2 linked regions of the Danio rerio genome follow. The protein of the gene in region 1 interacts with the protein of each later gene in a pairwise test. Links are inferred from orthologs where the notes say so. Each region holds a gene or a part of one and is shown on either strand. Other genes may lie near its edges. The genes, in order: polr3c and polr3glb.

Region 1 (3,828 bases):
GAGGGCGGGGCCGCAGGTTTCAAATCTCACAAGTTTGTGCGTGCAACTACTTGGTTTCGTTATTACGTCATGGCGATACACCTAATGCCTCTTTATCAAGACGACTCGTTTGAAGCACTGTGAGTCGACTCTTTTATAGATGAATCAACAGTTTTAAACACTGTACACTTACAGTTTTAAGCCTTAGCTGGATATTTCACTTCACTTAGAGCTGTGTTACACGCTACATGGAAGGACATTTTCAAAAATCCATAATATGGGATCTTAAAAACAAATTTAAATATTGGAAAAATGACCTTTTAAAGCAGTCTAGGCCACGTTCACACTGCAGCCAAATGTGGACCAGTTCAGATTTAATTTGCCCACATGTGACTCGAGTAATGACAGTGTAAACAGCCCAAACTGCATGGAATCAGATTTTTTTCAGGTTAGATTTGTACCACTCTCATATGTAGTCTTAAATCAGACACAGATCTGGGGCCTCATGTATCAACGCTGCGTACGCACAAAAACTTTGCGTACGCCAGGTTTCACGCTCAGAATCGCTCACGTTTGGATTTACTAACGATGAACTGAACGTGGGAATGTGCGCAGCACCACGCTAGCATTATGGCTGGCGTACGCACATTTTTTGTGCGTGTCTGTTTTATTTCCATTGGCGACTCCTAGAGGCAGTTGTGTTAAATTCCTCTCTACAAAGTGTCTGAGCCTTGCAATGGCAGCTGTATGAGACAGGTTCATCTAGCAGGTATATGGTTTCCATACCATACAGTTGACCAGCTAAACATCAAAGCACAATTTGCAGCGGTCGCCTGTTTTCCCAATGTAATCTGAGCTATCTACTGCACACACATTGCTATAAAGACACTATCTGAAGATGAATTCGCATGCGTGAATCAGAAACATTTCCATTCAATAAATGTGCAAATAAAATATGATTCACAAACTTATTAATGATTCCCACTTGTCTTTCTCGTGATAATCTGATATGTAGCGGGGGAAAAAAGAAGAAAGAGTTCATCAGACGCTGGATTCGAACCGAGTTCATGCTCGAACGTGTCAAAACATGTTAACCTGCGTTTTACGAACTGCGCCACTGAGACTGTTGTAGGTACTGCAACATTTTACACCTATAAATCACACTATTTCTTTTTTATTTCACTCGGTGCGATGTTCAGACCCAATTGTGTTAGCCGCATTAGCTAAACTCTCCCACTATATTTTTTTCTTTTGTTGTCAATTCCGGAGAACAAACTTGCAAATAACACCGCTTTTTTCCGGTCTACCTCCGAAAGCAGCACCTCCAATTCACATTCTGTAAAAGGTTTCTCTTTTGGCTTGCTAGCCATTGCTTTTTCGTTGGGTTTTGCCAAAGTATAGTCATTAGCATATTCATACGGGGGAGGAGGCAGGGAAGGGTTTTGTGCTCGTGCATGTTGCGCTCAGTTTCACGTTCATTCGGATGTACAAAAGAATATGCGTGAGATTCGGCGTACGCAGTGTTTCATACATCTGAAATTTTTGTGCGTACGCAATGTTTTAGTATGATTTCCATGCAAGTCTTCGTACATGAGGCCCCTGATGTTTTGCATTGCGACCGCAGTTTGAACAGTTATGTCGGATTTCATGTGACTTTTGCATAATCTTTGAGTGGCATGCGTCATCATTCTGTGCTGCAGACATCATCATCTCCTTAGCAGCATAGTAGAAGGAATACACAGGGCAATTACTTTATCATAGAAAGTTGGTTGTTAATTTTTAGAAACATTTTGAAGGCAAAACTTGTACTTGGTATTGGTAACCATTCTGGATAACGATTGGGACACGGGTTAACCGCGAAGCTGAAGAGTGTCAGGGGTGTTGCGGATTGGAGATCCGTGCACAAAGGAGGGGGCACTTTTTTTTTTAAGGTTGAACTTTCTCTCAGAGAGAAAAAAAAGGGCATGTGCTCAAGCACTCAAACCCCCCTTCTGCACGTGCCTGTTGTTTATGACGAAGTAAAATGAAATAACCTAAACAGGGATAAACCAACTCCACCCTCACAGTTCAGTCTGCAGCTGCTCAACAACCCTTGAGTTCACTACACCATTGGTCCCTTCATAATCTAGCCCCATCCTATCTCTCAGAGCTGCTTCATCTTTACACTCCTGTGAGATCTCTTAGGTCAAGAGAGCAGAATCTTCTTTTAGTTCCACAGTCTGGGCTGAAACTTAGAGGGGACAGAGCTTTCTCTGTGGCAGGTCCTCGGTTGTGGAACACCTTGCCCCCTGAGATTAGAATGGCTCCATTATTATCCATTATTATCCATTTTTAAATCACTTCTTAAAACGTACCTTTTTAGCTTGGCTTTTTAAGATTATTTACATAGTTTGTTCTACCGCAAATTAAAAAAAAAAAATATATATATATATATATATATATTTTTTTTTTTTTTACAGTCATTTCTCTTGCCTTATTTCTATGCTTTTATATTCTGTCTTTTTTTTTTTTACTTTGTTTTATGTACACCACTTTGGTCAGTCTTGTGACTGCTTTTAAATGTGCTTTTTCAATAAATGAACTTGAACTTGATTGGTCAGACAGATGCACTACGCGGTTGTCATAAATCACAAATGATCAGTGTTTTCTATCACAAGTGACTTATTTCAAGACTCAAATGGGGAAATACACATTAGTAGTAGCAGAATAACCCTTTACAGTTCATGAAACACACCACAGTTGTCTGTAAAAAGGGTAATAATCATATGAAGCATGATATGACAACGTGCTTCTTACAGAATACACATTGTGTGAATTATTAGACCTTTTGTGCTGTCCGTAAGTGTACTTTTGCGCATACGGGTCAGTTTAGGATCATGATCTGTTCACACTGCAAATCTGATATTGGCCACATTTATAACAGCAATGTGAACAGCTATGCAAAAAAATAAGATCTGAGAAAAAAAAATCTTATTTGAGCACTCAGAGTGTAAAAAAAAATGCTGCTATATTAATGTGCATATCACACTTCTGGCCGGCCGCGTATGCGATCTAGACTTTACCAAGCCTCGCAGTGTGAACAAAGCCAAAATGAAGCACCTAGTAATGTGCATTTGTCATCAAAAAAATTGTAGGTTTTAATATATTTTGAGTGGGACTTTTACAAAATATCCTCATGGAACATGATCTTTACATAATAATCTAATGATCTTTGTCCAAAAGGAAAAATTAATCAATGTGACCCATAGAAAGATTTTTTTGGCTATTGCCAATAATATAACCATGCAACATAAGGCTGGTTTTGTGTTTGAGGGTCACATGTTTTCTTTTTAACACTGTCCTCCTACTAGGTCAAGAAATCTCTGTGTGTGCTGGTGCAGCATGGGATGTGTACGTTTGGTCCAGGTCGTCGTGGCCCAGCGGGACCTGTGGAGTATCATATCAACTGTGAGCACATCCTACACATGCTCCGTTATCCACGCTACATCTACACCGCCAAGAGTCTGTATGGGGACACGGGAGAGCTCATTGTTGAGGAGATCCTGCAGAGAGGCCAGATGACCATGAGCAGTACAGTCAAGACTGTAGCAGACAGGCTGACCCACAACATGCCAGGTGAGACACTACAACAAATGAAGTACAGAAAAACTTTACTTGCTGAATGTAAAGTGGTCGAAGAAGTGAACTCTGCAAACATCAGGTTACATATACAGTTAAATTCAGAACTATTAGCCCCCCTTTGAGTTTTTTTTTTTCTTTTCTTTTTTTTTTTATATTTACCAAATGATTTTTAACAGAGCAAGAAATTTTTCACAGTATGTCTGATAATTTTTTTTTGGCTTATTGGTT
Region 2 (4,426 bases), about 33 Mb from region 1:
TTGACTAGATATTTTTCAAGACACTTCTATACAGCTTAAAGTGACATTTAAAGGCATAACTAGGTTAATTAGTTTAACTAGGCAGGTTAGGGTAATAAGGCAAGTTATTGTATAACAGTGGTTTGTTCTGTAATCCAAGGGTTCCCAAACTTTTCAGCCCATGACACCCAAAACGACAATGCCAGTGACTCGCGACTCCCAACATCCTCTGAGGTGGTTATAAGTACAGAAACCCATGTCTATTCTTTGTGGAATTAATGTATGTCAGTGCTGTTAATGTGCCAGAAAGTTTAACCTGGTGTTATAAAATCAGTCTGTTACATCTGACGCTATTGCTGTCTTTAACATAATGTAATTACCCCAGGGGTCGCAATCCAATAGAACTAGTAACTAGAAGCTACTATAGTAACTCAATACAGCAGTATATAGTGTATAAAGATGTTAAAATGTTAAATCACTATAAAGATGATTTAGATTTTTCTCTTCAGTAGGTTATGGATAAAATATGGTAATTCTTATGGTTTAATAAAAATAACTCGATTTTTGGAAATAACTAGGCGACCCCCCCCCCCTTCATTGTCGCGCGTCCCCCACTTTGAGAACCCCTGTAGACTATCAAAAAAAAAAAAAAAAAAAAAGCTTAAAAGGGCTAATAATTTTGACCCTAAAAATTTTCATTGAAAAATTCAAAACTGCTTTTATTTTAGCCAAAATAAAACAATTAAGTCTTTCTCCAGAAGAAAAAATATTATCAGACATACTGTGAAAATTTCCTTGCCCTGTTAAACATCATTTGGGAAATATTTTAAAAAGAAAAAAGAATTCTAAGGGGGGCTAATAACAATACCTCAACTGTAAACACACACACACACACACACACACGCATGCACGCGCACACACACGCACTGTGTCTGTGAGTATTATACAATAAAGCCATGAATTACAGAAATATCTATACTGTATGTACACGGACAAATATGTTTCACATATGTAATAAAGTGTTGTAACTTAGTTATAGGCTACATAAACAGTAGTTTTAATAAATAATAGCCAACATTTAAAACAGATCAAAAATGTTTATCAAAATTTGTCCTAAGTTAAAAATGTGTGTTGTTGAATAGTTTTGGAACAACTTTGATAAAGGTTTTGATCCACTTCAAATGTTGACTACAGTATAATAATCTTTAGCATGTGCATCAGCATCTCTGTGAGCAATATGCAAAACATGTAATGAATCCTTACATATTTTGTAATGATTTGTTTGTTTAGCATGATTCACTTTGAGTAGCACTGGTTAACGTTAACTGACGCGAAACGCGGAACCATAAAAGACCGCGCTCATGTTTCTGGCAGGAGTGTTTTCAGAAGCGGGCAAAAACAAACGGGCAGATGTTTGGCGGGTGATTTTATTGCTCAATTTTACATCAATAAAACCTGAAATTACATTAAAAACAACCACGTTTACTGACGGATTAACCAATAAAACCTTTGCACAATGAAACGAAGTTGAAAATAAAGAGGGATTTCGCCGCATTGAGTGAAAGAGGTGTGTTTATATGCTACAGTTCGGTCAAAACAAATAAAACGTTACATTGAAAATAAAACATTTACCAAAAGTACATTTATGTAAAAATAAATATTTTAACATGTTTGGCCTAAATGTGTCTTTTCTAGCCGAATTTAGTTGTTTGATAATGAGTAAACTTATACTGTGAATAACGGATAAACGAGTTAAATAAAGAGGATGTATGATTAATAAATGTGAAATATTTTGTCTCAGATGATGGCAGGAAGGGGCAGAGGGCAGCTCACTTTCTCTGTGGAGATAGTTGGGATCGGTAAAGGTGAAAATCTCCCTCCGTCCTGCATCCAGCCGACACCTCTGTTCCCCGTGAGTCTTCAAGACACAACAATAAAGCCTCGTTTATAAACTGTTATACGCTTGTTATACACTGCTATTATCAAGATATGAGTCAGATTCTGCATTTCATGAGCATAAACGCAGTGCTTTAATAGTTTAATGTGGATGGCGTCACGAGCTACACAGAAATTGCATTGAAAAAACGGTCCTGTTCAACATTCAGCAAACATTACATTTTAAAAGTGTCTAATATCACAACAACATATTTGTTTAAATATTTGTTTTAGAATTCAAATTGTTTTATTGTTGAACACATCATCACAGTATTCCACCTTATTTACCTTAACAGTTACATAATAAGCCACTTACACTCACCGGCCACTTTATTAGGTACACCTTACTAGTTTTGGGTTGGACCACTTTTGTCTTCAGAACTGCCTTAATCATTCGTGGCATAGATTCAAAAAGATACTGGAAATATTCCTCAGAGATTTTGGTCCATATTGACATGATATCATCAAGCAGTTTGCCCGCTAAACATCCATGATGTGAATCTCCTTTTCCACCACATCCCAAAGATGCTCTATTGGATTGTGATCTGGTGAATATTGTGGCCATTTGAGTACAGTGAACTCATTGTGATGTTAAAAAAAAAAGTCTGAGATGATTTGTGCTTTCTGACATGGCGCGTTATCCTGCTGGAAGTAAGAGTAGAAATCAGAATTATCAGCCCCCCTTTGAATTTTTTTGTTCTTTTTTATATTTTTTAAATGATGTTTAACAGGGCAAGGACATGTTCACAGTATGTCTGATAATATTGTTTCTTCTGGAAAATTAAAGCAGTTATTAATTGTTAAATACCATTTTAAGGTCAAAATTATTAGCCCCTTTAAGCAATTTTTTTTCCGATAGTCTACAAGCCATCATTATACAATAACTTGCCTAATTACCCTAACCTGCCTAGTTAACCTAATTTACCTAGTTAAGCCGTTAACTGTCACTTTAAGCTGTATAGAAGTGTCTTGAAAAATATCTAGTCAAATATTATGTGCATCATGGCAAAGATAAAATAAATCAGTTATTAGAGATGAGGTATTAAAACTATTATGTTTAGAAATGTGCTGAAAAAAATATCTTTCTGTTAAACAGAAATTGGGGAAAAAAATAAAAAAGGGGCTAATAATTCTGACTTCAACTGTATGTTTTTTTTATTTCAATTAACATTTTTATTACAGTAAAGAAAATAATTTTATTGCCATTTTAAGTGTCTGTAGATGTCTCTGCCATAAAGACAGTACATAATATTTGACTAGATATTTTTCAAAATACTAGTATTCAGCTTAAAGTGACATTTAAAGGCTTAACTACAGTAGGTTGATTGGGGTTTATTAGACAAATCATTGTATAACAATGTTTTTTTTCTGTAGCCAATCGAAGAAGAAAAATTTTCTTAATGGGGCTAATAATATTGACCTTTAAATGGATTTTATTCTAGCCGAAATAAAACAAATACGACTTTCTCCGGAAGAAAAAATGTTATCAGACATACTGTGAAAATTTTCTTGCTCTGTTGAACATTATTTAGGAAATATTTTAAAAAAGAAAAAAATCATTCTGACTTTAGCTGTATGCCCTATTAAAAGCTGATTTCTGTCTTGGCATGTGTAAATGAGTGACAGCAGGTGTTTGTGTGAGCAGCAGACAGATGTGAATGTGCTGTTTGATGTGTTCAGCCTCTGGATCAGAAGCCAGTGCCCCTGCAGGCAGGTGAGGAGGCCGAGTACATGCTGGCCCTCAAACAGGAGTTTAGGGGAGCCATGAAGACGCTCCCGTTTTACATCCGTCCAGCGGCTCCCAAGAAAGGTCAGTTCAGAGCCCAGGACTAGCTCTTTACTGACATCTTTAAAGGGCTTATATTATGCTCATTGTATCATGTCATTTTTTTTTCGAAATTACATAACATGCGATTTCTACACTTTGGCACATATGCAATCCTTTTTTTCTAATCCTGAGTCTTAATGCAATTATTGTAAATAACATTTAAAGGTGCAAATGTTTAAAGGTATGTAATTTGACACCCAGTGGTTGAACTAGGAATTACATTCCAGAATCAAAACATATGCAAGTGCAGGTTGCCAGATGACCAAGAGGAGCGAGTCTCAAGCCTAATGTAAACCGTGTTCAGTATAAAAGCAACGGCACGTGATAGAACAAATATTTTCCATATTAAAAGGAGTTTTTGTCCTAACCAACACCTCGAATTGATATGTTAGAAACGGCTTTTATTTCACACAGGCGAACAACAGGAAAACCTGACAATGATCACCTCATGTAGTTTATTCAGTGTTAAAAATGAATTTTATGTGATTTTCAGGTTTTTTATTTTTAATAAATTTGCAACAGTTTGAAAAAATATTTTCTCACACTGTCATTAAGGGGTATTGTGTGCAGAATTTTGAGGAGATAAATGAATTAAATCCATTTTGGAATAAGACTGTAACATAAAAAATGTGAAAAAAATTAAGCACTATCGATACTTTCAGGACGCACTGTATGCATCAAGAA

Evidence for each region.
Region 2: the proteins of polr3c (region 1) and polr3glb interact in binary tests that used the Homo sapiens proteins (3 or more experiments, as listed by UniProt). The link is inferred for Danio rerio from reciprocal best matches to the Homo sapiens genes POLR3C and POLR3GL.

What each region holds. Positions count from the first base shown.
Region 1 is NC_133191.1:14,595,729-14,599,556, forward strand, and holds part of polr3c (DNA-directed RNA polymerase III subunit RPC3), read left to right. Parts: intron 1-3,329; coding exon 3,330-3,594; intron 3,595-3,828. UniProt on the Homo sapiens protein: DNA-dependent RNA polymerase catalyzes the transcription of DNA into RNA using the four ribonucleoside triphosphates as substrates.
Region 2 is NC_133191.1:47,264,756-47,269,181, forward strand, and holds the start of polr3glb (DNA-directed RNA polymerase III subunit RPC7-like), read left to right. Parts: upstream 1-1,351; 5' UTR 1,352-1,546; intron 1,547-1,780; 5' UTR 1,781-1,783; coding exon 1,784-1,891; intron 1,892-3,594; coding exon 3,595-3,724; intron 3,725-4,426. UniProt on the Homo sapiens protein: DNA-dependent RNA polymerase catalyzes the transcription of DNA into RNA using the four ribonucleoside triphosphates as substrates. Specific peripheric component of RNA polymerase III which synthesizes small RNAs, such as 5S rRNA and tRNAs.